4 linked regions of the Stegostoma tigrinum genome follow. The protein of the gene in region 1 interacts with the protein of each later gene in a pairwise test. Links are inferred from orthologs where the notes say so. Each region holds a gene or a part of one and is shown on either strand. Other genes may lie near its edges. The genes, in order: cdc5l, kalrna, myelin transcription factor 1-like protein and KAT8 regulatory NSL complex subunit 1-like.

Region 1 (7,421 bases):
CCTTCGCTGTCTCCATCAGGAAGGACGTGAGCCTGAAGGGCGTGACTATCCCAGGCAGCGGAGGCCTTCAGGTCAAGACCTCCCTGTACATGGACAATGTCGCCGTCTTCTGCACCGATCGTCGCTCGGTGAGTAGGCTGTTGGACATCTGCGGCCAGTTTGAACTGGCCTCGGGTGCCAAAGTCAATAGGGGTAAGAGCGAGGTCACGTTCTTCGGGAACTGGGATGACCGCTCCTTCATCCCCTTCACTGTCAGGACGGACTACCTGAAGATGCTGGGTGTTTGGTTTGGTGGAGCTGGGGCGTGCACTAAGACTTGGGAGGAGCGTATCACCAAATTGAAGCAGAAGCTGGGCAGGTGGACGCTCCGGTCCCTCTCCACCGCGGGTAAGAACCCGGTTGTCAGGTGCGAGGGGCTTTCGGCACTGTTGTATGTGGCGCAGGCCTGGCCTATTCCCTGGACCTGCGCCGCTGCAGTCACCCGGGCCATCTTCCACTTCATTTGGGGGTCGAGGATGGACCGGGTCCGCAGGGACACCATGTACAAAGACCTGGGAAATGGGGGGGAAAGGGCGTACCGAACGCCACCCTCGCCCTGACGGCTACCTTTGTGCATAGATCCTCAGTACGCAAACACCAAATGTCACTACTTACTGAGGTTCTACCTGTCCCCAGTATTGCGAAGGATGGGCCTGGCCTCGTTGCCGCGGAACGCTCCGAGTAGTTGGACTGTTCTGTACCACCTGTCCTACGTGGAGAAATTTTTGAAAGGAAACACCTTTGACCACAAGGCCGTCAGGCAGTGGTCAGCACGTAGTATCTTCGAGACCCTTTGGGAAAAGGAGAGGGTGGATCCCATCGTGTGGTTCCCCACGCAGGCTGCCAAAGTCGTTTGGCAGAATGCCTCATCGCCAGAACTTTCAAACAAGTACAAGGACATTGCTTGGCTGGCGGTGAGAGGGGCTCTGCCAGTGAGATCCTTTATGCATGCCCGGAATCTCTGCGTCACCGCACGCTGCCCTCGAGGTGGCTGCGGCGGGGATGAGTCTGTTGATCACCTCCTTCTGGCGTGTGCCTATGCGCAGGAGGTCTGGAGGGGGATGCAGTGGTATTTGTCGAGGTTCGTCCCGAGCAGCTCCGTGACGCAGGACTCCATGCTATACGGGCTGTTTCCTGGGACGCACACCGAGACTAACATCAACTGCGCCTGGAGGACCATCAATGCGGTGAAAGACGCTCTTTGGTCTGCCAGCTGAAAGAACTGACTCTGACCGAATGTTGCAGACTGGCGCACTCTAAGGTCTAGGACTACGTGCTGAGGGATGCGCTAAAGCTTGGGGCAGCCGCCGCCAAGGCGCGGTGGGGAAAGACCACGGTATGAAACCCCTCGTCCAGAATAGAAAAAAGGGCCCTATCTGGTACCTGGGCCCAGCTGGCGCCTTCCCCAACTGGTCAGGGGGCCAACTGGGACTGTGCAGGGTGACAACTGCCGGGGTATTTTCTTTGCTTTGTTTTTTTTCCTTTTAGTTGATGTATGTACCCCCTGGGTAACCCAGAGCGGCTTGCATGACAGGGTAGGTGTATAAATATGTTTTATTTTTTGTACATCTTATGAATAAAGTATATTTTTTCAAATAAAACAAAAGTGACGAAACGTCTGAAAACTAACCTTCCAGCTCAGCGAGCAATCTCACATCCAGAACCTCAACCTGAGCTACAAATCTTCTCAAAACTCGCTACAACCTTTCCGTATCTGCCGTCAAGTCCTCTAAGAATGATTTTGTTTCAATAAATGTCACGTCTCATTCTTCTAAATTCCAGTGAGTACAAACCCAACTTTATTCAACTTCTCCTCATAAGACATTCCGTCCATATCCAGTATCAGCCTACAAAACCTTCTCCATATTGTTTCCAATGCTAATATATCTTTCCTAACGATAACGTCACAACATTCTAGTTGCGGTGAATATTTCTAGCAGAACACCCACACTTTTATAATCCATTCCCTTTGGAATTTAAAAAAAAATCAACATTCTATTCGCCTTCACTATTATCCACCCGAACATGGATGCTAACTTTTTGAGATTCATGGATTTTATAATTCAATTGATCATCCTGGATTTAGAACTCTAACCGTCAGTGTTTTCTTTAGCATTATGATGTGTCAGTGCAAGGAAGTAAAACTTAACTTTTGGCACCCATTTTCAAGTATTCACAGATCACACAGATTCGAAGAACATGCAGGTGTGTGAAAAAGAACTTCAAGCCGCACCACCGCGCAAGATGAAATGTAATAAAGGTAAAAATCGCCGTTGTCTTAGCAGACCATAGGGCAGTGCTTTTATTAGAAGACGATTGGTGGTAGTTCATCTGCAGGTCACCATACCTCAGGTGAGGGGGAAGAAATTGAGAAAAGTTACCATTGAAGGACTTAAGTTGATGCGGAAATTGGTTTGGTGCACAGCAAAGGAGTCAGTGATTCCAAGGTCAATTTCTGACCGTTTGAAAAACTGTCCCTAAAAGAGCGACATTAATCAGTTTCTAAATCACGAGAAATTTTTACTGCATCAAGCCGCCAACTAACAAGAAACCCAAGAACTTGGTGTAATTTTGACCGTGGCAAGGGAAAAAGACGATCAAAATACTTGACGTCGCACGGTGAAAACAGTGAAATGCAACCGGGAAATGCTAGCATCAGCTCGGACAAGGGGGAAGGAAACCCCGTCTCTGGGCCCGGCGGAAAGGGGTAGACCCCAGTCTCCGGGCCTGTCACACAGGCCTCACCACTCACCTCCGTGTTCCTCCAGACACCTCCTTTAATCATTATCCGCGGCATCCTGGCAGTCAGCGACTGGTCCGAGGGAATCCTCGGCAGCTGCAAACGGTTAGGAAGGAGCTCAGTTATTTAACCAAACTTGAACCCAACTCCGGTGATAAACCTCCGGCCCTAGGTGCAGCAACGGGCGATGAGGTGACAAGGACAACACAGCGCTCCCAAGGTGGCCCGCTGCCGCCACCAAGAGCGCCGCCAAGCCTGGCTGACTGACACTGCACCCATTCCACTCCTCTCAACTTTACACCGGACAGATCACTTTGCAACGGCATCATCGTAAATAAACAAATCTTTGATTGTGGGTAGTCATGCAACGTGGGAAAACGACCGTTCGATCCAACTCGTCCATGCCGACTAGTTTTCCCAAACTAATCTACCCTAATTTCCCTGCGTTTGACCCATATCCTTTTACTACTCACGTAGCTGTCAAAATGTCTTATAAATGTAACTGTATAAGTGCATCTACCACTACTTCTGGCAATTAATTCCATTCATGCACCATCCTCTGTGTAAAGACATTATCCCTCCGTCCCTTTGAAGTCTTCTCCTTCTCACCTAGAACCAATGCCCTCAAAGTTGAGAGGGGAACGATTTAAAAGGGACTTGTGGGCAACTTTTTCATACTGAGGCTGCTTAGTCAAGATTGGTGTTTCTGTGAAGGAAGAGCATAAATTTCTGCTGAGGCAGGTTTATTGAAAGGGTTCTCTTACCAAGCTCCAGGGTAGTTCCTGGCAGCTTGGTCTAAGTCACTGCGGCCTCAGTGGTATAGAGGAACGCTGACCTTCATTGCTCTGACAGCGTAAGTGCTCTGCTCTACTTTCTGCTACCTTAAATTCAATCACTCTGCTACTACACTGACTGTGCAACAAGAGTCAAGTTCCATCACTTTTACTATAGCCTTCAACATCTTCACTCATTCATCCTTCTTTCCCCTAACCTCCCACAGCATTAAATATGCATGGCTTCTGCTCTACCTGTGCACTTGCCCAGGAGGCCTCATCACCTATTGTCCACCTGTCCCAGCAGTATTAGTCATGCTGATACACATCCACATTTTGGCTGAAAGAAGTTTCCTCAAATCCCTTCTAAATCTCCTGTCCCTTACCTTAAATTTATTGTCCATCTAACAAGGGGAGAAGCTTCTTTGAACCAACTGTATCTATGCCTCTTGCAATTTTGTACACCTCAATCAGGTCCCCTCTCAGCCTTCTCTACTCTCAGGAAAATATCTCCAGCCTTCTCAGTCTCTCTTCATAGCTAAATTAATCCAGTCCAGGTAACATCCTGTTGAATCTCTTCCTAGAATCATAGGATATAATCATAAATCCTTACAGTGTGGAAGCACATCATTCGGCGCATCAAGTCCATGCTAACACTCTGAAGAGCATTGCAGCCCTCTACCCTATCTCTGTAACCCTGCAATTCCCCCAGCTAATCCATCTAGCCTGCACATCCTGGAGAGTATGGGCAATTCAGCATGACCAATCCACTTAACTTGCACATCTTTGGACTGTGGGAGGAAACTGGAGCGCCAAGAGGGAACTCATGCAGATATAAGAAAATGTGCAAACTCCACACAGACAATCACCAAATTCTAGAATCAAACCTGGGCCCCTGGTACTGCGAGGCAGTAATGCTAACCACTGAGCCACCGTACCATCTCAGCTCTCAGTCATGTTCAACCCAGAGCTCTTCCTCAGAACTGGTCCTTTCGAGTGTATAATTCACTGCCACCTTACTTCCAGATATGCCCATTTTGATGAAGTTCTGCTCTTCTCGCCATCAGGCCTTCGCTTTTAATCTTTCAGCCTTAGCATGTTCATTGCTTTCTGTCTCCATTTCTGAAGAATGGTCAAACCAGAATCAAAACATTAACTCAGTTTCTATTTCCACAGATGTCGCTAGACATGCTGAGTTTCTCCAGCATTCTCTATTTGTTCCATTTTCCTCCAGTGCAGACTTGCCATTTTTAATAATATTTTTCATGAACCTTCAACACAAGTTTTCTCTGGTACAATCATATTCCTCCTACAGTCTGGTGACCAGAACTGTACCCACTACTTCATCTGTGACCTAATATCTTATACACAGCAACCATTACTTCCCTCCTCTTGTACTCAATGTCTCAACTAATAAAGCAAGTCTCCCTTAAATCTTCTAAAGCACCATATCCACCTGTCCTGCGGCCTTCAAATAACTGTGGTTATGCACACAAAATTCTTCTGATTCTCTGTACTTCTTAAGGCTCTACCATTCAACATGTACTCCCTCGCCTTGTTAGTCCTCTTAAAATGTATCACACCTCACTTTTCATGGTTAAATTCCTTTTGCCACTGTTCAGCCCATCTTGCCAGCCTGTCTAACAACTGTATCAACCATTAAAGTTTCTTGACACCTGGTCACTGGACTCAAAACGTTAAGACTTTTGGTTTTTCTTTAGATGTTGCTAGAATTGTTGAGCTTCTCCAGCAATTTCTATCTTTATGTGTCTCAGATCTCCAGCATCTTATGTTCTCTGTTTTACATTAACTTTTCATTTCCATCCAATGCTGCCTAAATCATGTTCCCCTTTTTAGTGTATGTGTTTCCCTGAAACTCTTCGTGTTTTTGCACGTCGACTGGGGTAAATTTTAAAGTTGTGTGGGTCATAGTGGTGAGATGAACTTCAGACAGTTTTGGGGTGGGGGGGTGGTAGGTGGAAGAAAACTACGAGTCCCATGATGCCCTGGAATGTTTGGTGGGGGAGGTTGGTGTGAGGACGGCGACGCAGTGCGCATGTTCCGCCGGCGTTGCCGCGGTGCAGGCTGGGATGTGAGTTCCACACTGACCCTCCTCCCCTTCCCCAGACCCAGGCCAGTTCCCGGTGACCATGGTGGGCACCTACTGTTGTGTGCCGGGCTGCTTCAACAACACACTCAAGAACAAGGAGCTCTCCTTTCACGTCTTCCCCAAGGACGAGACGCTGCGCGGCGTTTGGATCAGAAACCTGTCGCGCTTGGACGAGAGAAAATTCAGCGTGTGGCAGCCCAAAACCCATCACAAAGTCTGCGACGCCCACTTTGCTGGAGGCAAGAAGACCTACATGAACAATGTGCCCATCGTCTTCCCCGTGAAGGTCGAGAGGTCCCGCAAGAAGGAGCAGGCCAGGCTCCTGCTGCTGGGTGCCAAGATTACCCCACCAGGTACACTCCACACATGCAGCAGCAGATGGACATACCCCGCCTCTAGTGGTCAGGTCAAAAGTTTATAATCCCTGTTGAATTTAGCGTCGAAAATGTCAGAAACGTTGAAAATTCTGATCGTTTTATTTGTGGATAAAAAGTAATCCGCTTAATTTTAGGGAGATTTTAGCGGTCGGGTCTGTATCTTAAACAGAATTCGCTCCCTTGTAAATCAATTACACAGACGTGGAGATTTCCATTTGAAGTGCCTGAGCTGCAGTCTGTTGTTCACAGTGTAATCTGAACTCTTCAACTGTGTTACTGTTATATAATTCGCTAGTTTTTATTGAGTATTTCGTGATGACGTTGTGTTTTTCAAATGGGTCCTGGATATAGCTGGTTTAATTTTAGCTTCTTCCATCGTGCCGTTCCCTACTGAGAAAACAGGAAAGTAATAACGTGTGAAGCTGGATGAACACAGGCCAAGCAGCATCTCAGGAGCATTGACACTTGATGACTGGGAAATATTTGAGTGCTAATCTGGAATGCTTTCCTTTTTTTTCGACGTCCGTTAGTGGGTCGAGCAAAAAATCTCATAAGAGGCATGGCGAAAAAAAAGGAAGATCACCTCACCCCACCCCCACCATGGCATATCCTTCGCAGAAATTCCCCTAAGGATACTCTCAGCTAGGTTGCACATTCTGCAGTAATGGCACAATGCAGTGCAACGTACTGCCCTAGTTATTTAACGAAGATAGTGAGGTGGAGTTTGAAATGAAAAAAAGCCATTCTTCCAGTGGCAGCATAGTCTGCACTGTGACAGACCTATTAGTCAGCACTGATATTCATGAGCTGTTATACAAAGCTTACTGAGTATAGCAGAGTTCAATGCTATTGGCGTTTTAAAACTATTAACAACCATAGTTTTTTTTTATCTGATTTGAATGTCTTTCTTATAAATCTGTCTACCCTGTACGAAATTCTAATGTGGTTCCAGATGTTTTGGCCAAATATCAGCCAACGTGTACTCTGGCTTAATTGTCAGATTAGTTTCTAGGAATATTTCCTCTACTTTTATTATGGCATGTTATTTGACAAGCATAGTGGAACTAATTCAGAATTATCATGGAAACAGCATCAAGAAACATTGTATCCAATTAAGATTGATCAGAAAATGAAATTTGCCTTTAAGTGTATGGTGGCATTGTGGTTTTGCAATTAGATTAGTATTCCAGTTCTACAGGCATCAATTTCATTCCCATTGCTGTAAATGGGGAATTCAAATTTAATTCATAAATTAAATTTTAAAAGAAGGAATTAAAAGCTTATTAGTAATGGTGACAACCAAAGCTGCTGTTTTGTGTGAAATCCATCTGGTTTACTAATGTGCTTTAGGGAAGAACGTCTTCTGTCCATATCTAGTCTAT
Region 2 (7,225 bases), on another chromosome or scaffold:
AACTCAGCAAAGATCCTTTCCAGTGAGAAAGAACGTATCTAGGGTACAGCCACCTAATCCATGCCTAATTTAGAAAGTTAAATACAGTATAAAATTTCAGAGAATAGGGCATACATAGCAGGTCACAAGATTGGATAGAATGTTTAACAATTAGTACAGTAATAATATAGAGGGAGAAATTAGAGTATGAGGAAAAGCTCACTAGAAATGTAAGATCAAAAGTGTTCTTACAGGTATTTACAATAGAGAAATAAATAAAGTGAATACTGGTTCTCTACCCAGTGAACCTGGCAAGTTAATAATGGAAAATAAGGAATGGCAGTTGTATTGAACAGATATTTTGTATCTACCTTCACTATAGAATATAGGAATAATACCTCAGAAATAAGTTTACATAAGACGTGAAAGTGAGGAAAGATCTTAAAATTACAATCACCATTGAAGGGATACCGAGAAAACTCTGAACTAAAAGCTGACACGTCCCCAGGTTCTGACGGACTTCATATTAGGGTCTTAAAAGGAGTGGTTGCTGAGATAGTAGATGTATTTGTTTCAATTTTCCAAAATGCTCTAGATTCTGAAAAGGCCTAATTTTAGAAAATAATGTATATAACCTGTCCATCAAGGAAGGATGGAAACAGAAGCAGAAAATAACAGGCCAGTTCGCGTAACAACTGTCATTAGGAAGAATGCTGCAATCTATCATTAAAGTAGCTCAATGCAATCAGGTAGCATCGACATGGTTTTATGAAAGAAAACTCACATACAATTCATTCATTAGTCTTTAGATTAGATTAGATTAGATTCCTTACAGTGTGGAAGCAGGCCCTTTGGCCCAACAAGTCCACACCGCCCCTTGAGGCATCCCACCCAGACCCATCCCTCTATAACCCACGCACCCCTGAACACTACGGGCAATTTAGTATGGCCAATCCACCTAGCCTGCACATCTTTGGACTGTGGGAGGAAACCGGAGCACCCGGAGGAAACCCACGCAGACACAGGGAAAACGTGCAAACTCCACACAGACAGTCACCTGAGGCTGGAATCGAACCTGGGTCCCTGGCGCTGTGAGGCTGCAGTGCTAACCACTGAGCCACCATGCCGCCCCTTTGAGTAAATAAAGGGGAACCTATGGAGGTGGCAAACTTAAATTTTCAGAAGGCATTTGACAAGGTGTACCATCAAATGTTTCGACACGAAATAAGAGTTTATGGTGTTAGAATAACATGTTAAGATATAGGAGCAGAATTAGGCCATTCAGCCCAATGAGTCTGTTCCACCATTCAATCATAGCTGATATGTTTCTCAACCCTATTCTCCTGCCTCTTCTCCATAACCCTTGATCCTGTTACCAATCAAGAATCTATTTACCTTTGTCTTAAAAACCACTCAATGACTCGGCTCCACTGCCTTCCATGGCATTGAATTCCATAGATTAACCTCCTCCTTGCAAAAGAAATTCCTCCTCATCTCAATTCTAAAGGACCATCCCTTCACTCTGAGGCTGTGCCCACAGATCCAAATTTCTCCTACTAGAGGAAACATCTTCTCCATGTCAACTCTATCCATACCTGTTGCTATTCTGTAAGTTTCAAATGAGATCCCCCACTTTGAGTACAGACCCAGAATCTTCAACCATTCCTCATATGACAAACCCTTCATTCATTAAAAAGGAATAGAGAATTTGTTGGCTAACTGGAAATGGGGAGTCATTTTTGGGTCAATAAAATACAATGAGTGCAGTGCCACAGGAATTGGTGATTCAATTTCGACCATGTATTCAATATGTTCAATATTTATAAAGAACTTGGAAAATAAAACTGAACCAATGCTTGCTAAATTTGATGACAGCACAAATATAGGTAGGAAGGAAAGTTGTGAAGATAGCAGAAGGAGTCTACTAAGTGATATGCATAAGTTACATGAATGGGCAAAAATGTTGGCGGGTGGAACATAATGTGTGTAAATGTGAACTTGTCCACTTGAGTAGTAAGGATAAAAAAATGTTATTTAAATTGGAGAAGATCTCAGAATGTTAAGGTACAGAGAGAGGTGGGTGTCCTGGTACTTGAATTACTAAGAGTTAATATTCATGGACAATAAGTGATTAGGAAGGTAGTTGGAAAAATGGGGTATTATTGTATCTTGCAAGGGGAATGGAATATAAAATTTCGGATGTTGTGTTACAGTTGTACAGGGTATTGCTTAAACGATAGCCACAGTTACTGGATACAATTCTGGATTCCTTATTTAAGAAGGATCATAGTTATATTTGTGGCAGTTCAAAGAATATTTATTTGACTGATTCCTGGGATGAAGAGTTTACCTTACTGAGAAAGGTCAAACTTGTTGGGCCTGAATCCATTGGACATTAGAAGAATGAGAGGTGATCTTACTGAAGCATCCTGACAGGATTTGACAGGATGGATGTTGAAAGCAGAGACTTAAAACTGAAAAAGACGGGATCCCCATTTAGGGCAGAGATGAAGTTGAGGATAGGCAGGAGAAGTGGGTTAAGGCCATAAGCAGATCAGCCATGAGCCTATCAAATGGAGGAACAGATCTGACCACCAATAGCCTACTTCTGCTACTTATTCATATGTTCCTATGGAATGGTGGGAGTTAACTTGCAGGTCTGCAATTAGCCAGGACTTCTAGGCGTCATTGCTGACTAATATTTCACTGTTGAAAACTAAACTCCCCAAAATTAAACCATCACTTACCAGCCAGTATTAAGACCCACAAGTGAAGAATAGTCAAAAGGGCTGTAACTCGGAATGGATGTACATCTGAGCTTCAATCATTAGCCCAGGGACGAGGGAGAGTGGAAACTGGAGAAATACCGAGTTGATAAAAAAAAAGTATTTGGGCTTGGTTGCAATTTTGTCACTAATATAGGGTGGGCCAATGTAAAACATGACATCATAGCCAATATGATTTAAACTACATTACGCCCATTAACTTCTTATAAAATGTGTAACCAATACCTGTAAACGTCTAGACGGCTCTTTTCTGGCGTTGATTTAAATGGCAGCTTATTAATAACACATAATTCAAGCATCGCACTGATGTTTCTCTGTTATGGGTCAATGCCTTTTTACTGCGCTTACGCCGTTTCTTAGCAACTCAGTGACCGCATAAATGATTTGCCTACGCTCTGACCTTGCCCATCAGCCTGAGTGTGGTCAGTCTGAGTAAGTTCTGTACCCGCTGCACTGTGGGCAAGGTCAAATCCCACTCATTATCGATAGCCTGAGCTAATGCACAACAAGCACCTCCCATGAGTCATCTAGACTCGAAACCTTAGCTTGCTCTCTCTCCACGGATGCTGTCTGACCCGCTGTGATCTACAATAAAAAAGACAAATGCTTTCAATATACAGTTGCATTGTGGAAAATAATAAAACAACCCTGTGTATCACTGACAAATTTATGTCCCTTCGCTTGTTTACATCACATGGAGACATTCCGCGTAAATTCAAGGAGAAATCGAAATTGGTGTGATGAATGAATCCACACTTGCTGAGGCTGATGTCAAGCAGATGGGCTATGGTTACAGGAAGTATTTTGGGGACAACAGGTGGGCTTGGGTCTTTAGGGAATGTGTTATTCCAGCTACTCATTAACTCGGTTACAAAGACTACAATCTTTACAGCGATTTGGCTTTTGTTTTGAATCAATTCTTCAAAGTTATTAAAGGGATGTACCTAATAAAGTAAGATAACAAGGTGTAAAGCTAGATAAACACATTACCTAAAAAGTAATATATTTTTCCTTGATCGATATTGGCAAATGTACTGATATTGTAATGAGAGCATTTGCGCTGCTTTACAGAGAAGCGTGAATGGGTGAACAGTCCCAAAAATAATCTTTGAAGCAAACCTGATGTGTTTGATACAACGTAACGCCAGGATGACTTTGTGATTGCCTTATTGGGCAAGTCAGTCACAGATTACTATCACTTTCAATCACATTATAGTTGTGCATATAGACTAACCCCCGCCATTTTGCATAAAATAATTTAATTTGGATCATATTCTAGTCTGAATTGTTAAATGCGTATGGTGTATTTATTGTGCACAAGATTGAGAAAAGTCGGATGTGGTTCAGTGCACCGACAAACGCTAGAGGGCGCAATGCGGCCACTCCTCGGCACACAGCGAAGTTGCAAATCACAGGGACAGTGATCTGTGTTAAATGAGATTTGAACCATTCGGCTCAGTGAGTGAATAGTTTGTTCAAGCAAGAATCCGATCTCCCTTTGCTGTCCCAGATCCCCAATATCTGTTTACTGACACCCGCTGCCTCTCAACGGTCTTTGTCAATGCTCATTTCCTTCAAATTTCTTGTAACCGCACACCCATAAACAAAATGCAGACAGCCCGAGGGCCGGTGTAACTGTCTCCCGGCCTCTTGTCATTGGGATCACTTCCTTCGAAGGCTTCAGTGAGCTGGTTACATTGAAGTAGGCTGCAAGGAAGGATTTAATTTCACTGAATTCGTCAATGATGCAAGGCCTCTACGGGGGATATTTCAAGTAGTGGCAGGGCTCCGGAACTGTCCGCTGGTGAAAATGCATTGAGCTTGCCCATGTGTAGTCTATTGTTGCTCTTGTGACGCTGCTGTTGGGGAGAGGAGGGCGCCTTTGAACAATAGAGGACAAATACAGAGGCTTTTAGTCGAGCACAGCCTTTTCCAAAACACCACTGCTTAACAGCACCGAATATGGAGCCTAGTCTGCAGTAGAAGTGGATGTAATTTGTTGTATTTCTGCATCGAGTCAACGATGAATTCCGCAGAAGGGGCAGACGAATGCGTCAACGATGGTGATATTGCAGCATTTTTCAAGACAGGTAAGTGGGGATATAATGGGGAGGAGAGGGGCAAAGAGCTTTGTGAGGGGTGGCAAGTGATTTCACCCTCGTTCAATGCATGAAGCAGCATCTCCAGTATTACTATCACAATCCACGAGTTTGTGTGGCCGCTGTCAGGCCGACTCGCCCACTGTATTCATGCGTGTGTGTACATTGAACAATGAAACTGTTTCAGGAAATCTGATGCTGGAAAAGAAAATCTCGGATGAAGTCTTTGACAACTGAGATGAAGATAACCAGCAGTGGCCTTTTATTTACTCTGTCATGTTTTTGAAATTGCGATGATGATAACATTTTATCACTGTAAATGGAAAGGAACACTGATGTTGTCTTGCTGTAATGACACTCCTCAGTTGCCAGGCTAAGGCAGTGCTAGTAGCAATGAAACGAAAGCTCAATGGCGCTTTGTGCCTCCTAGGAAATCAAGATTGCATCGTTTGAATTTTAACCAATTCATGTTGTTTGTAAAACTAAGCGCTGTATAAATTTTACTGATTTGAAATTCTTATTTCTGAGAACGGTATTATGTGCGATAGATACACTTAATAGCATTTCAAACAATAAGATACTATAGTTATATAGTCAATAGTCGATATTGACTATAGTTAAATTATTTCAACAGACAACCTAGCTAGCTTTATCGTGAATGTGTGCCCTACCGTTTTCACTGGCCTGGAAGTTGCCATCTAGCTACATCTCAAATACCCATTGCAATATTAGCTCTCAACACACGCCAACAGTGTGGCTTGTAGGATTTGCTGATGGAGCGTAAGGACCGCCTTCACTGCTCATTTTTAGAGATGTTACAGCTATATTCAAAAAAATGTCAAGGATTACAATTTGTAATCAATAAATATGATAGCTAACTTTCTGCACTCAAAGACTGGGTCCTCCCACACCCCCTTTCAGTGAACAAGGTTACAGGCAGCTTACAACCACCTTCTCAAGGACATTTTGGGATGGGCAATAAATGCTGGTCTTGCCAGCGACGTTCACATCATCGTGAAAGAATAAAATAACTATAGTGATCTAATTATTTTCTCTTTATACAACATGCTAATGTTCACAGTGCCTGTAGTGAGACATCACAGTATGAACCGCCGATACTTCTTTCACTTTAATACCACTGAAACCTGATTATTTTTCCATCGTAATGATATGTAATAATCATTGTCTTAATAGCCACATTAACATACACATCAACAGCAGGTACAAAGGATTTGTGATTTTTTTGGAGTAAAACTCAAGGATTTGCCATAACTCTACCACCACCACCATGTTTCAAGGATTTAAAAATGACAGCTACTCCCAGGCTGTAATGGATTATTCTGCCCTTTTCAAAAATATCTAATTTTACATTTGATGTTGTGCCTCAAGTCATCATTTGCTAGCATGTCTTTTTATAATGGCCCAGGGTCAGGCATGACAACTGACTGACAGTGAGTGCATTTTATCTTCATCCATGCTGGCTTGTGGGTGATGGATGCACAGCTGTTGCTCCCCAGCATGCCAAAGGTTAAAAATAACAGACATCATGGAGGTACAGGGCTGCTCTTGTCATGTTCTATTGTTCTGAAAATCTTATTAAGATATGTCAATGTTGAATGATGACTTTGAAGTTTGCAGATTCTTGTTAGTTGGTAGTTGCCTTTGTAGTTCCATGATTTGTATCCACTTAGGCCATAAACAAACTTGCCTGTCATATTTGTGATTATAGGCTGTTTAGGAAGTTTGCATATGCACTCACATTCTCAGCACAGTTAGTTTAATAATCAAATGGGTGGATTTGTTACACCCCTAGTGTCACACCCCTTGTTGATGGCTGACCATAAAGTTATGGAGAAAAATTGTTCATTTGCAGCTTTCAGTAGTGTGATAGACACTAATGCTACACATAGTTGAGTTACACCTATTTCAGAATCCATGACTGAATACAAATTGAAACCATGTTCTTGCCTGGTCTATCTCAATTTTTGATATGTTGACAAGAATAATAGATGAACACTGGGCAACCTGTTACATAGGTAGTGTAATGTTGATATTTCTTTAGGATGACTCCATTCTTGTATACAGAGTTGTGATAACACATGCAGCATTGCTAAAGTTTAAATAACTCATGAACTAATGTGCTTCCGTCAGCAAATGCGCATAGCCATACTTAGCAAATGTGCCTTTTGTAATTGCTGTTAATAATTAAAAGTAATAATCAGTAATTAAATTCAGTAATTCTTTGACTTTAAGACAGTTTGTTAGTCTTGTAATATTTATACTATTACAGAATCCATTTTTATTAACATTATTTTGTTTAAAAAATTTTCAAAAATTGGACAAAGCAATCAAAGTTTGAAA
Region 3 (6,945 bases), about 35 Mb from region 1:
ATATCAACAGGCCGAGAAAGAAGCTGAAAATTCATAGTTTGAAACAACAATAAAAGGGAGCAAAAGAGTAAGTGCACATACTCCGTGATGGCTGCTGAATCAAACACAACCTCAGCTTAAGGGCATCAGACAGACAAGAGACTGCAGAAAGCCAAGCTATGTAGCATGCATCGAATATGAGCTCCCTTAAGAGACAATCCTTCTGCAGCAGTTTAAAATCACCAGCATCTTGCTGACTTACCTCTTCCTTAGCTAGAGTCTCACATCAGGAAAAGTTGTATTCCATCCAAATCAAAATGTGTGGCCAAAATTTCATGGATATCAGAACAATAGAAGCATACGTGACAAGTGTTTCCTAACACTGTCAATAATTCTGTGGTCGATTCTACTAGACCATGGTTTGGGGTTGTATACCTTGTGTTACTAATACAGTACCCATGGGTCTTTGACTCTGTGGAGCTGTATGTGCCTGGTATTATGTGCAGTACTGTATATAATGTAATATAGGGAAAAGCTGAAAATATGAACAAAAAAAGCCTCGTGATGTAAAGTTAAAAACTCAAAAATTTGCAAAAGGCCATACATTAAATTCATATTTATGGCATGTCAATCAAGTCAACAAAAATAAAAACTACCAACTTACTAGAAGAAAATTAGAGTTTTGAGCTTTAGAGATAGTACAGATTAGGGTAACAATCTGAGTGATCTGCATCACATCATTACTTCTTTTAAAATTGGCTGAAGTATATGAATTATCAGGTTAAACATCTGAGCACTAATTTCCTTTGCACCTTGGAAAACACATTTGACAATTCCTTTTGTCAACCAAATTAGGAACATAAACTTCCAAAGCTATCCCACCTCAAAGTGAACTAATACATTGTATCTCCAATTATAAAAATCATAAAAAATATTTGTGACACAACAGTACAACAACAGTATGCTGACCGCAAAATATTTAATATTTAAATATTCTCTTAAGTTTGTTATTCGTCATAAGAGATTTTTAAAATATTTTAAGCACTGCACATGCATTGATTCTAAATCATAAATGAGATATAATTAGGAAATTATGATTCACTGAGCTGTATCCTAAGTTAATTCCTATATTAATCTTTCTGTGCTAGTATCTTCATCAATACTGTCAGATATCCAATGTAATACTTCTTACTTTGATCTTAAAAAGTTTTATAGTAAAGTTACACAAACGATTTAATTGGTTTTACAATTAAGACTTCAGACAAGCAGCATTCTAAAATAGCACTAAAATGTTCAAAATATATTCTGCACCTGTCACAGGAAGGAGCACGCTAGATGCATTATTAAGCCCCCCAACACAACGAAACATCCTGAGCTAACAAATCGGCATGACGCATTACGAAGGTAAAGCAAAGAGTAATTCTCAGTCTGCCTGTTAGCCGGTAGGGGGTCAGTCAGAGCTCAGGACGTCAGCCATGGACAGCTCCTAGTGCTGACGGGCCATTCAGACACATTTTCCAACTGAAGCTATGTTTTAAAATAACCGGCAAATAGACTGATGTATAAACCCAAAGAGCAATGCTCGCAGATTAATAGTAGATAAGCGTACGTCCTTACATTATCACATTAGTTAAATTAATGTTGGAATTAGAACAAATCAAAAGTTACTTTCCAAAAAAAATGACAGACAAAAGAAAACGGCGAACTGTAGCACCATACTTTATTTAACCCGAAGCTGTCACTAGTGATTCCCAAGCTTAGAAGCAATCGAATATTTTTTTTGCTTCTGCAGTACACAGATGCTTGAAAATATTAAGCAGCTCCAGAGTAAAGCAATAAAAGATTTGCAAAGTAATAATATCTGTGTAAAAGGGGCACTGAGAATTATGGTGCTCGATGTCAATGTGATGTGGCAATATTTAAAGGTAAACTTTTATGAAGACCAACTAATTATATTTTGTATAGTTTTAAGAGAACTTCTAAACTATTTTAAAGTTTACCCTTTATATATTAACTGTGATTTAGAATTGTTTAGAACTTTGCAGTATTAAAGCTAATTTTGTGAAGTTAGAATTGAGGCAAATTGAAAACAGCATTTTGAAAGTTCCATCATATAGCTCAAGTTTGATAGTTTCAGCTTAAGGCCTAAATCTGCTGCCTCTAATTCTAAGCCCTCTGTCTTTTCTATTTTACATGTCTGAAAATTTATGGAAACCCAGAATATGTTTTGATATTTGTTTAATAACATAGTCGGCTTTCTTTACTTACGATAAGTTGAGCTAGGTATTTGAAAATATGGCAGCAAATACTTATAGGCACATGCAAATACAACAACTTCTAAACACTTTTAAGTGTGTGTCCTGACTTCATACCAAATATATTGCTTCAACAAATAACAATCAATGACTAAGTTTTACCACAAGATTGGAAGGCAGATGTCTAAGTATTGTATCAAAAAGGATAGGGTGCACAGCTATCATTAAGTAACCAACAAACACAACTGAGGATAGGACCACTGGATTCAGTAAATAAACTCAAAGGGCATTATGCAGCATTTTCACAGAAAAGACCATTTTTCATTACATTTTTTTAAACCATTGCCCAAATATAACTGGATCACAGCCGACGCTGCCTGTGTTATTCCTACATTCTCATTCAACGCAGTTACTAGAGCACAGCACAGATACAAATAAAAAAGCAAGGAATCTCATCAAACCCACATCAGCAATATCTGATTGTGAGAAGACTCTCCAGAAAAATTGGGAAGCAAAAAACAAGAGAGAACTGAACTACACCCACCACGATAAGCAAAATACTGTGACTTGAACCAGACTGCAGGGAACAACACTCTTCGCTGTGTAGAAGCCTAGGTAAAAATGTCGCCTTGGCAAGGATGACAAATGCAGCACGATAGGCTACCAGGCCTAAGGGATCTGTTATACTTCCACATACATCCACTAATGCACACACTCCCACTCATCCTCTCGATAGGCTTTTTTCACATCTTTTTACCAGCTTCAAATCCCCGGCATATGACCTTCTGTTAAATAGATAAAAAAAATGCTTATCAGTCATGCAAATGAGACTGAATTCATTTTCCACAACAGATGGCCTCATAGATAATGATGATGGAACACAGAAAATTGAATGTCTCTTGCTATGTGGCCATGGCAACCGGGAGCAGAATAATATCAATAAGAGGTGCTGCATAATAAGGCTGTCAGTTCTGAAATTCACGCACTCTGAAACAGGTAGAGCGGGCAAGTTAATCTATATTTTTGAATTTTCTAGGTTTTTTTGTGAATGAATGATTATGGATTTTCTTACAAAATATCGCCCTGTTCATCGAAGCAGTTATTTCCTAAGCTTTCTTTGTTGCAAATTGCATTTTGTTTTTTTTTGGCTTTTTGACTGGGGGTTGGGCATGGTTTACTGTATCGGGGTGGGTTTTGATTTAAATACTAGGTATTAATCCGTGCTTGCTGCAGTCTCGCTGATATAGAATGCTGCAATGATGCAACAGTGGCTCGCGTCAGGCTTCCACCCCGGTCCTCAAGGGGCTGTCCTGCAAAATGAATCAGCAGACATCCTGATCAAACTGATTAAAATAAAAATGGCAAAGGCACACGTCTGGGCGGAACTACTGCGCCTCACTGCCTGACTGGCGTGCACGCTTGCAGCAAGGCACCTCGACTGATTGACACAGGCAGACCAAATTGAGAGGTGTCTGGGGTCTTCCAAATAAACAAAAATACGAGCAAATTTTGAACCGAAGGCAAAGTCCTTGTGACACAGAATGGGGGCGGGGGGGAGAAGAGGGTGAAAAAAAGGCGTGTGACTTTTCTCCTCAGCTGTGCCTGCCGTTTTCTGGGCTTGTGCTTCTGCGGCGAGCTCTTGTGCATTTTAATTCAGAAATCAATAGAGACGCTGTAATGGAGGCTCCACTTTCCGAGCAGCTGCAGACACCAGTGTTCAAAACAGCCACTGACGTCTGTGAAGGTTTTTCAGCTGATTGGGCACCGCATCGGATGTTCTGTGAACCAAGGAATAGGAATCATTTACAGTCTGTTTTTTTTAAGTATATGGCAGCTTGGATTTTTCAGTCCAGAGAAGATTGAAGCTGCACCCCTACGCACTCGGCTGCATTGGGAGGCACACAGTGCAATATTCTCCCTGAAACTGACGTGAATACCATATCCTGCAAGCTGTTGCTCCCGTACTGTCAGCGAGCAGCCTAATCTCACACAATAAATGAAGGGAGGAGCACGGCAACCCTTCCAGAAACACAAACTGGAACCAACTCACTCGCTGTGAAATCCAATGGTGCGGCTGGAGAAATTTGTTCGTGCCCCAAAAAACTCGCGTTTATATATTTTCGACCACTGTAACAATACTTTCACACCTTATATAAATGCATAATAAATATTTCTCAAGCAGATATTGAAAAATCCCATTCTTTCCATTCAATAAAATCACTTCCTACGTTATGAGTAAAATTTAAAGGCTGCTCAGTGGAAGTGTTATGTAGGTACAACCCTAATAAATTTCACTGCGGCGAGGAGGCTCAATGCACTTCTGTCCACTGGATGGGTTTCAGTGGGGAATCCATTAACACAGCGAAAAAATGTCATAGAGTCATGGAGACGTACATGACTGAAAAAAGGTCCTTCAGCCCATCAAGTCTGTGCCAATCAAAAACGACCACTTAACATTTCTCGTCAAATTTTCCAGCACTTGGTCCAAAGTTTTCATTGTCTTCGCATTGCAAGTGGAGGTCTAAATAATTCTTAGATGTTTTAAGTTTTTCTGCCTCTCCCATCCTTACAAGCAGTGAGTTCCACATTCCCAACCCTTTGGGTGAAGGGGATTTTCCGCACATCCCTTTGAGACCTTTCGCCCCTTACCTTAAAGGTATTTCACATAGTCATTAATCCTGCCACCATGTGGAATAGTCTCTTTCTGCCATATTGAATGTTGACATTGAAATTATGCACCCTTGTCATTTCTATGATCTAATGTGTTCAGAACACTATAACAAGGGAATGCTGCACTGTCTGCAATGCTGTGTTACAGATGAGACATTAAATCAAGTCCCTGACTGTTTTCACAAGTTCTATGTCCTGGGAACAGAGAAATAAGCAACAGTAATTCACCCTGTTCCCCAAACAATGATGCCATGGCTGTTCCATAATCTAACTTCAGGTCCCTGCCTTAGCTCCATATACAACTCTCAATACTCATGGCTGGCAAAACTCTATCAATCCCAGGTTTAAAATACAAGCTTAGTTTATGTAATTTCTCGTTAGAACCCTGATAACTAGGGATGGGCAATAAATGCTGGTCAGTCAGCAACGCCCACGTGCCATGACCGAAGAAATGAAAACAAAGACATTCTGACAAATCTAGACTGTACTCGTTCCAATGTATCCCATAACTTCAGAAATCACATTACACCAGGTTATAGTCCAACAGGTTTTATTTGAAATCACAAGCTATTGAAGCGCTGCTCCTTCACCAGGTGAAGTCACTTCATCTGATGGAGGAACAGCATGCCAAACACTTGTGATTTCAAACAAAACCTGTTGGACTATAACCTGGTGTCGTGTGACTTCTTGGATAAGCATATGGATGATGATGGGATAGTGTAGGGGAAGGGGCTTAGATTAGTTCATGGGTTGGAGCAACATCGAGGGCCAAAGGGCCTGTTCTACGCTGTATTGTTCTATGTTCTATGTTCTGGCTTTGTCCACCTGGCATTTCCACATCATGGCTCCCATAATGACATACAGTACTTCACATGTGGCATAACTAGGGCTTTGGACATTTGCGGAAAAACTTACTTCCTTCTAGCTTCTGGCTTCTACCTTCTAGATCTCCTAGCCATATCTTTTCCCTCAACAAACATCACTAAAAAAATTATCTCATTATATTTCCATTACACATTTGTGTACAAATTGACTGCACATTTCTTACACTATAATAGTGACCATTCAAAGAATAGTGCTGACTTTCAATGTAGCACTTTGAGATCCCGAGGTTGTGAGAAGTGCTGAATAATTTGTGCATTTTTCTTTCTTTTTTGTTTCTTTTTTGCACAACTTTATTATACGAGACCAATTGTTCATAATTGAGGCTAATAGTCATTTAAATACTTGAACAAAGTAAGAATATATTCAAATTAGTAATGGTTTATGCTGCAACAGTAATATAGCTCTGAGTTCATACATAGGATACCTTTGGAGATAACATTGCAACTAGTACCATTAGAGGCATAGAGGGCCATTTGAAAAAGTGGGTTTCTTCAGGTGGCATACGGCAATGTTAGTGCCATCTGCTCTTTTAGCACTGAGGCTGTATTTTCAGCCTAACAATGCAAGATTATGGAAAAGCAATTTTCGGAAAACTGTTTTTTTGGGGGGCCGTAACATTGGGTAATGTCCAAAGTCAAAGATACAAGCAATAGTTGTGGACAATATGCCATACACAAGTTTAGGCACCCAGGTGATTGAATAAATGCATAGCCCATTGTATTAAGGAGTACATTTACAGAACATTAGAAATAGGATCTTAATGGCCAATCCTTTCTGTGAACAGCTTAAAACATAATGCAGAGATTTGAAGACTTGCTCAATTAATGGATCTGATTTCAAAGTTTGACATTGTGCAGCCTTAAAAGAAAATTCAAAATATTAAATATCTGAAAATAAAACAACTTGTATACTTCCATCTACAATCCGACCCCACCACCCAAGACATTTTTCCATCCCCACCCTTGTCTGCTTTCCGGAGAGACCACTCTCTCCGTGACTCCCTTGTTCACTCCACACTGCCCTTCAACTCCACCACACCCGGCACCTTCCCCTGCAACCGCAGGAAATGCTACACTTGCCTCCACACCTCCTCCCTCACCCCTATCCCAGGCCCCAAGATGACTTTCCATATTAAGCAGAGGTTCACCTGCACATC
Region 4 (7,826 bases), on another chromosome or scaffold:
AGCTATCAACCTGGTGAAACTACCAAACAGGTTTACTTGCACACCAGACAGCATAAGTAGCAAGTGATAGACAGAGCTAAGTGATCCTACATCAGATCTAAACTCTGCAGTCCTGCAACATATAGTTGCGAATATTGGTGGACAATTAAACAACTCACTGGGGGAGGAGGCTCCACAATTATCCCCATCCTCAGTGATGGAAGACCCCAATGTATAAGTGTAAAAGATAAGGTTTAAGAATGTTCAGCAATCTTCAGCCAGAGGTACCGAGTGGGTGATCCATTGTAGCCTCCTCCGACTGTCCCCAGCATTTTAGATATTAGTCTTCAACCAATTTGATTCACTCCAATTCACATGATTCCTTCAGGGAATGGTCTTGTTGAAAATTGTAAGGATATATTCATTTTGGGCTTTTGTTTCGGATAATGGCCCTACACAATCTACTAGTAAACAAATGAATGTCTCCTCAAAAGCCAGTGTGGGAATCAGGGGAGCTGGTCTCATTACATGTTGCAGTTTAGTGACAAATCATCAAGAATGGCATGTTTTACAAAACTGCACCTCTCTATGTAAATTTGACCAGGTAAGAAAACCTGTTTATGAATAGCTTTCAGAGCCCCATATGTCCTGCCATGGGCATTTCACGTACCACTCAAAATCCCCCTATGATAGCTGAGTGATATCTCTACCTGATGAACAACGACACATTTTTCATCTGCAGGTCTGTGAGGGACTCCACTGCCTCATTCTCACTTTAAATAGCACTCTGGGTCTCCTTCAGCATCTACCTCAAGATGAATTGGCTGTGATAATTTATTTAATTCAGGATCTGCTTCTGAGTTTGAGATAGTGAATTCATTGTAGCTTCAAGGAGGTGGTCACACTGCAGGTTTAGTCATATAGATTGGTGACCACCAGGAAAGGTAGGCAAGTAATGCAAGGGTCTCCTGTGGCACCTCTCAAATAAGTTGGATACTGTTGGGGGGATAGCCTCTCAGGGGCAAAATAGCAGCAGCAGCCTGGTGTTTGGCACCACAACTGGATCTGCTGTAAAGATGGGTATGGCAAAGAATTATGATAGCGAACTGTATAGTCAAGGGCATAGACATTTCTGTAGCTGCAAACAAGATTCCAGGAATGGTGTGTTGCCTCCTTTGTGCCAGGGTCAAAGACATCCCAGAGCAATTCCTGGAAATTTTCAAAGGAAAGTGTGAGTAGCGAGAGGTTGTTGTATACATTGGAATCAATGATATAAGCACAAAAGGGGATGAGGTCCTACAGAGTGAATATAAGGAGTTAGGCAGGAGGTTAAAAAAACAGGGCCTCAAGAATAGTAATCTCTGGATTATTCCTGGTGCCAGGTGCTTGTGAGAGTAGGAGTAGGAGGATAGGGCAGATGAATGTGTGGCTGAGGACACAGGGCAGGGGGCAGAGATTCAGATTTTTGGATCATTTGGATCTCTTTCAAAACAGGAATGACTAACACAAGAGGGGCAGGTTGCACCATAATTGGAAGGTGACCAATTTGCTGGTGGGAGATTTGCGAGAGCTATTCAGGAGGGCATAAAATAGGCCGGCAGGGGTTGGGACCCTAAGCAGTAGTGAGAGAACAGAGATGGTTGAGGCTGGTACAGAAGCTAAAGAGATCAAGTTAAGTAGATAAGGCAGACAAGAGCACGACAGGGAATGAGGGAACTGCATTTATTTCAATGCAAGAGACCTGACAGGGAAAGCAGACCCGAAATGTCAACCTTCCTGCTCCTCTGATGCTGTTTGGCCTGGCTGTGTTCATCCAACTCTACACCTTGTTATCTCAGGGCATAGATGGGCACATGGGTCTGGATATTGTAACTATGACAGACACATGGCTGAGGGAGGGACAAGACTGGCAGCTCTGTTCTGGGCTGCAGATAATGTAGGAAAGAAAGAAAGGGAGATAAGAGAGGGGGAGTGGCATTTTTAGGGAAAATATCATGACACTTCTTAGACAGGATATTCCTGAGGGATTGTCCAATGAAAGTTATGTGAGTGGAACTGAGAAATAAGAAGGTGGAGATCACTGTAATGAGATTGTACTGTAACCACCACACCCACCCCCAACAGTCAGAAATTGAGGAGCAAATATGTGGGGAGATCACTGACAGGTGTAAGAATAATAGTGCTGTAATAGTGAGGGATTTTAACTTTTCAAACATTGACTGATATAGTGATAAGGGCTTGAATGGGGAAGATTTTGAAAACTTAATCAATATGTAGATGACCATACAACACAAGGTGCAAAACTTGGCCTCCTTTGGGAAATAAGGCAGGGCTAGTGGCTGATATGTTAACAGGGAAACACTTTGAGACCAGTGACCATAATTCTATTAGTTTTATTTTTGTTATAGAAAAGGATAGGCCTGATTCACATATTAAAGTTGTAAATTGGGGCAAGGTCAATTTTGATATATTAGACAGGAACTTTCAAAAGTTGATCGGGGAGGTCCGTTCATAGGTGAAGGGCTATCTGACAGGTGGGAGGTTTTCAAAAGTGAGACAACAAGAGTTCAGAGCCAGCATGTTCCTGTTGGTATGAAGGGCAAGGCTGGTAGGGGTAGGGATAGGGAACACTGGATGATTAGAGATATCAAGATTCTGCTCATGAAAAAGAAGGAGGCATATGTCAGGTATAGTCAGCTGACACCAAGTGAATCTGTGGAAGACTATGTAGCAGTACATTTAAGAGGGAAATCAGAATGACAAAAAGGGACGTCATTGTAGATTGGGTAAAGGAGAATGCAAAGACATTCTATAAGTATACAAATAAGTAACAAAGCAGAGAAGAAGGCCCCCTAAAATTCAACAGGCTGTGTATGCATAAAGACACGGGAAATGGATGAGATCCTCACCACATATTGCACTGCCATATTTACTGTGGATAAAGATATGGAAGCTCGGGAACTCGGGGATGTAAACAGTGATGTCTTGAAAAAAGGTCCAGCATTACAGAAGAGGAGATGCTGGAGATCTTAAAATGTATAAAGGTAAATAAATCCCTGGGACCTCATCAAGTACATTACGTTAAATTAGATTCCCTACAGTGAGGAAACAGTCCCTTTGGCCCAACAAGTCCACACCGACCCTTGAAGCATCCCACCCAGACCCATCCCCCTATGACCCACACACTTCTGAACACTACGGGCAATTTGGCATGGCCAATCCACCTAACCTGCACATCTTTGGACTGTGGGAGGAAACCGGAGCACCCGGAGGAAACCCACGCAGACACGGGGAGAATGTGCAAACTCCAAACAGACAGTTACCCGAGGTTGGAATCGAATCTGTGTCCCTGGTGCTGTGAGGCTGCAGTGCTAACCACTGAGCCACCGTGCCACCCTCAGGACATTGTGAGAAACTTGGGAAGAAATTGCAGAGTCCATAGCAGAGATCTTTGTACCATCAACAGCCATTGGTGAGGTGCTGGAAGACTGAAGGTTGGTTAACGTGCTACTAGTTGAACAGTAACTATAATAACTAGTTACAAAGGCTGCAAGGAAAATCCAGTGAACTGTAGACTGGTGAGCCTCACGTCAGTGGTGGGTAAGGGATTTTGAGAGAAGGATCTACATGCGTACGTAAAACCGAGACTAGATTACCGAGGAAGATGCTGGATAGGCTAGGACTTTTTTTTCCCCCTGAAGTGTAGGAGGCTGAGGAGTAAGTTCGTCGAGATCATAGAAGCGTGGGGCGCATAGATACGGTGAATAGTACCAAGTACCCTCTGAATTCTTTCTCTGCTAATCTGACTATCCCAATCTACATAAAAATTAAACTGACCTCAAAGGCTAAAGTCACTAAAGGTTGGTACAATGCGTTTGTTACTTACCCTTATTATTTCCGGATTTATTCAGTGCAAACGTATCGCTACTGTTAGATTGCCTATAGACCATTCCGCCCAGTGGCTTCTTTTCCCCTTGTTTTCTTTTAACCTGAACCTATACTGATTCTACGCACAGAAAAAGAATAGACAAAAAGTTCAGAGGGGAATAGAAGAGGAAAAACGAACTTTAAGTTTAAAAGAAAAATCAGGAACAAACTTGAAGACCGACTATCGGCTTAAGGTTCACCATCAGGGCTCTATAGTTAAACCTTCAGTTGTGATCATGAGAGTTGTGTGCCTGCTCGAATATCACGTTTGTCGAGATCTTTTGTGTAAAGGAGAAATTTGCCTCGCTTTTCCAAAAACACTCACAAAAGGTCATCATCACTCTTGGATAGAGACAAGAACATTCTCTTGGTTGAGATAGCAAGAATTGCAGATTCTGGAGACGGTGGTAACAAGGTGTAGAGCTGGTGAATCACAGCGGGCCAGGCAGCATCACAGGAGCAGGAAAGTTGACCTTTCTGGTCGGGACCCTTCTTCGGAAACAGTCTCTTAGTGCTCAGTGATAAAAAATAATGGGAACAGCAGAGGCTGGAGAAAGTCCCTGGGCCCGCAACCCTACCCATATCACCATAGGTCCGCCCCTGCACATGTAGCTCCGCCCTAGAGCTTTTGGCCTCGCCCTTGGGCAAGTTGTTCCGCCCCGGTGTCGTTGCGAATGCCCTTGACCACGTAGCCTCGCCTCTGAGCATGCAGCACCCCATTATACTTGTAGCCCCGCCCCTGATCTTGTGACTACGCCCCTGGCAGTGTAGCCCCGCCCCAAACAACGTCATCCTGTCTCGCCCCGGGCATGTAGCCCCGCCCCTGGGCTTGTGGGTCCGACCCTAGCTGTGTAGCCCCGCCTCCTGGACATGTAGCCCCGCCCCCTTGGAGAGGCCCTTCTCCTCCGGAAAGCCCTCGATCTTCGGAAGCGCGCCCCGGGCCGTAGAGGCAGTTTGGCCTTGTCTTGGCCTCACTTTGGGCCCCGACTCCTACCGCAGACCTTCACCCTTTCTTTCCTCGGCTGCATTTCTGTGATCGGGTTCCTCCCCCAGCTCTCGGCTGGTGCTGTCACTGGGGACAGGATGAGAGCTGGGACAGGGGACCGGCTTAGGAGGTTGTCGGTGCTGGAGCATCCTCGGAGCTCAAGAGTTTGTGAGGCCGGCGCTCGCCCTCTCCTCACCCATTCGATCTTCACCGATCCGGCGGCGGGGGCTGAGGGGAATCAATGTGTGTGGATGAGGCTTGGGAAAACGGGTGTGGACGTTATAGAGAGGAGAGAGACGACCAAACGAAGATGTGGTGATGGAGAAATGTGTCCTTCCACGATGATGAATGAGGTAGGGTTGAGGATCAAGGATAGGGAGAGGTGAGTGGAAGATCGGGATGGCTGAAAGCGTGTGATGGTGACCGAATGGCACTGGTGTTTGGGATCACTGTTGTTGAATATCAGATGTTGAGTTTGGGTATGTGTGGAGCAGGGTGGGTGCAAATCTGTGACCCTCTCAGTAAACATTCTTGTGGGGATGAGGACCATAAAATGAGAGTCTCAAAGTTGACGTAAAATTCAGACATGCTTGGGTCTCAAACTGGAATCTTCAGATCTGAAACTAATTGCATTGATATCAGGGATGAATGAACATTTGTCGATAAGAAATTAGATTAACGTGTTTTATAGTAGATAGGAGATTTTTCATTCTTTTTAATTAATAGAATTTGGCTGTCACCAACCAGCACTTATTACCCAGCTATACCTGCCCTTGAAAGTTGGTGTTGAGTTGCCTTCTTGCACTATCACAAACTATTTGCTTTATGTACTCATATAATGCCATAAGGGATGGAACTTTAGGGATTTTAATCCAGTGACATTGAAGGAATGACAATATAGTTCCAAGTCAGGATAGTGAATGGCTTGGAGGGGAATATGCAAGTGGTGGTGATCCCAACTATGCTGCCTTTGCCCTTCTAGATGATAGTGTTATTGGGTTTGGAAGGTGCTATTGGAGGATATTTGGTGAATTTCTGTAGTAAATGTTGTAGATAATATGCACAGTTGGTGGTGTGGGGAATGGATGTTTGTGAATGCGGTGTCATTCAAGTGGGTTATTTTGTCCTGGATGGTGTTACCTTCATGGCTGTTGTTGGAGCTCCACTCATCCAAGCAAGTGGGGATAATCCATTACATTCCCGATTTGTGCCTTGTAGATGCCTAGTAGATGATGGAGAGAGAGATAACAAGCTGTGGAGCTGGATGAATACAGCAGGCCAAGCAGCATCAGAGGAGCAGGAAGGCTGACATTTCGGGCCTAAACACTTCTTCAGAAATGGGGCAGGAAAGGGGGTTCTGAAATAAATAGGGAGAGAGGGAGAGGCAGATAGAAGATGGATAGAGGAGAAAATAGGTGGAGAGGAGACAGACAAGTCAAAGAGGCAGGGTTGGAGCCAGTAAAGGTGAGTGTCGGTGGGGAGTTAGAGAGGGGATAGGTCAGCCCAGGGAGGACGGACAGGTCAAGGGGTGGATGAGGTTAGTAGGTAGGAGATGGGTATGGGTCTTGAGGTGGGAAGAGGGCATAGGTGGGTGGAAGGACAGGATAGGAAGGCAGGGACAAGCTGGGCTGGTTTTGGGATGCAGTAGGGAGAGTGGAGATTTTGAAGCTTATGAAGTCCACATTGATATCTCTGGGCTACAGGGTTCCCAAGCAAAATATGAGGTGCTGTTCCTGCAAACTTCGGGTGGCATCATTGTGGCACTGCAGGAGGTCCAGGAAGGACATGTCGTCAAAAGATTGGGAGGGTGAGTTGAATTGGATCATGACTGGGAGGTGCAGTTGGTGAGTGCAAACTGAGTGTAGATGTCCCGCAAAGCAGTTCCCAAGCCTCCGTTTGGTTTTCCCAATGTAGAGGAGGCCACATCAGGCACAGCAGATACAGCATACCACATTAGCAGATGTGCAGGTGAACATCTGCTTGATGTGGAAGGTCTTCTCGGGCCTGGGATGGGGCTGAGGGGCGACGTGTAGGGGCAGGTGCAGCACTTCCTGCAGTTGCAGGGAAAAGTGCCGGGTGTGATGGGGCTGGAGGGGAGTGTGGAGTGGATAAGGAGTCACGGAGAGAGTGGTCCCTCCAGAAAGCAGATAAGCGTGGGGAGGGAAAATGTCTTTGGTGGTGGGGTCGGATTACAGATGGCGGAAGCGTTGGAGGATGATGCGTGGGTTGGGTGGTACGTGAGGACGAGGGGAATTCTTTTTTTAGTTGTTATTGCGAGGATGGGGTGTGAGGGATGAGTTGTGGGAAATGTGGGAGACACGGTCAAGGGCGTTCTTGACCACTGAGGAGGTGAAGTTGTGGTCCTTATAAAACGAGGACATCTGAGATATTCGAGAGTGGAATGTCTCATTCCTGGGAGCAGATGCAGCAGAGGCGAAGGAATTGGGAATAGGGGATGGCATTTTTGCAGGGAGATGGGTGGGAGGAGGTGTATTTTAGGTAGCTGTGCGAGTCAGTGGGCTTGAAATGGGTATCAGTTTCCAGGTGATTGCCAGAGATGGAAACAAAAAGGCCCAGAAAGGAGAGAGAGGTATCAGAGATGGTCCAGATGAATGTAAGGTTGGGGTGGAAGGTTTTGGTGAAATGGATGAACTGTTCGAACTCCTCGTGGGAGCACGAGGCGGCGCCGATATAGTCATTGATGTAATGGAGGAAGAGATGGGGTTTAGGGCCAGTATAGCTACGGAAGAGGGGTTGTTCCTCATAACCTACAAAGAGGCAGGCATAGCTTGGGCCCATGTGGGAATCCATGGCCACCCCCTTAGTCTGTAGGAAGTGGGAGGAATTGAAAGAGAAGTTGTTAAGGGTGAGGATGAGTTCACCTAAGCAGATGAGGCTGTCAGTAGAGTGGGACTGGTCGGGCCTGCAGGACAGG

The links.
Region 2: the proteins of cdc5l (region 1) and kalrna interact in a two-hybrid assay, tested with the Homo sapiens proteins (2 studies listed by BioGRID and IntAct). The link is inferred for Stegostoma tigrinum from reciprocal best matches to the Homo sapiens genes CDC5L and KALRN.
Region 3: the proteins of cdc5l (region 1) and myelin transcription factor 1-like protein interact in a two-hybrid assay, tested with the Homo sapiens proteins (2 studies listed by BioGRID and IntAct). The link is inferred for Stegostoma tigrinum from reciprocal best matches to the Homo sapiens genes CDC5L and MYT1L.
Region 4: the proteins of cdc5l (region 1) and KAT8 regulatory NSL complex subunit 1-like interact in binary tests that used the Homo sapiens proteins (3 or more experiments, as listed by UniProt). The link is inferred for Stegostoma tigrinum from reciprocal best matches to the Homo sapiens genes CDC5L and KANSL1.

The regions. Positions count from the first base shown.
Region 1 is NC_081357.1:76,296,482-76,303,902, forward strand, and holds the start of cdc5l (cell division cycle 5-like protein), read right to left. Parts: upstream 3,004-7,421; 5' UTR 2,837-3,003; coding exon 2,792-2,836; intron 1-2,791. Other genes in the region: protein downstream neighbor of Son-like, read left to right, coding at 5,703-6,015.
Region 2 is NC_081360.1:53,269,240-53,276,464, reverse strand, and holds the start of kalrna (kalirin), read left to right. Parts: upstream 1-4,212; 5' UTR 4,213-4,788; coding exon 4,789-4,855; intron 4,856-7,225. UniProt on the Homo sapiens protein: Promotes the exchange of GDP by GTP. Activates specific Rho GTPase family members, thereby inducing various signaling mechanisms that regulate neuronal shape, growth, and plasticity, through their effects on the actin cytoskeleton.
Region 3 is NC_081357.1:110,908,428-110,915,372, forward strand, and holds the start of myelin transcription factor 1-like protein, read right to left. Parts: upstream 3,007-6,945; 5' UTR 2,992-3,006; intron 2,980-2,991; exon of another isoform or gene 2,779-2,979; intron 1,320-2,778; exon of another isoform or gene 1,291-1,319; intron 449-1,290; exon of another isoform or gene 242-448; intron 99-241; exon of another isoform or gene 82-98; intron 73-81; exon of another isoform or gene 1-72. UniProt on the Homo sapiens protein: Transcription factor that plays a key role in neuronal differentiation by specifically repressing expression of non-neuronal genes during neuron differentiation.
Region 4 is NC_081384.1:40,721,206-40,729,031, reverse strand, and holds the start of KAT8 regulatory NSL complex subunit 1-like, read left to right. Parts: upstream 1-4,809; 5' UTR 4,810-5,244; exon of another isoform or gene 5,245-5,273; intron 5,274-7,826. UniProt on the Homo sapiens protein: Non-catalytic component of the NSL histone acetyltransferase complex, a multiprotein complex that mediates histone H4 acetylation at 'Lys-5'- and 'Lys-8' (H4K5ac and H4K8ac) at transcription start sites and promotes transcription initiation.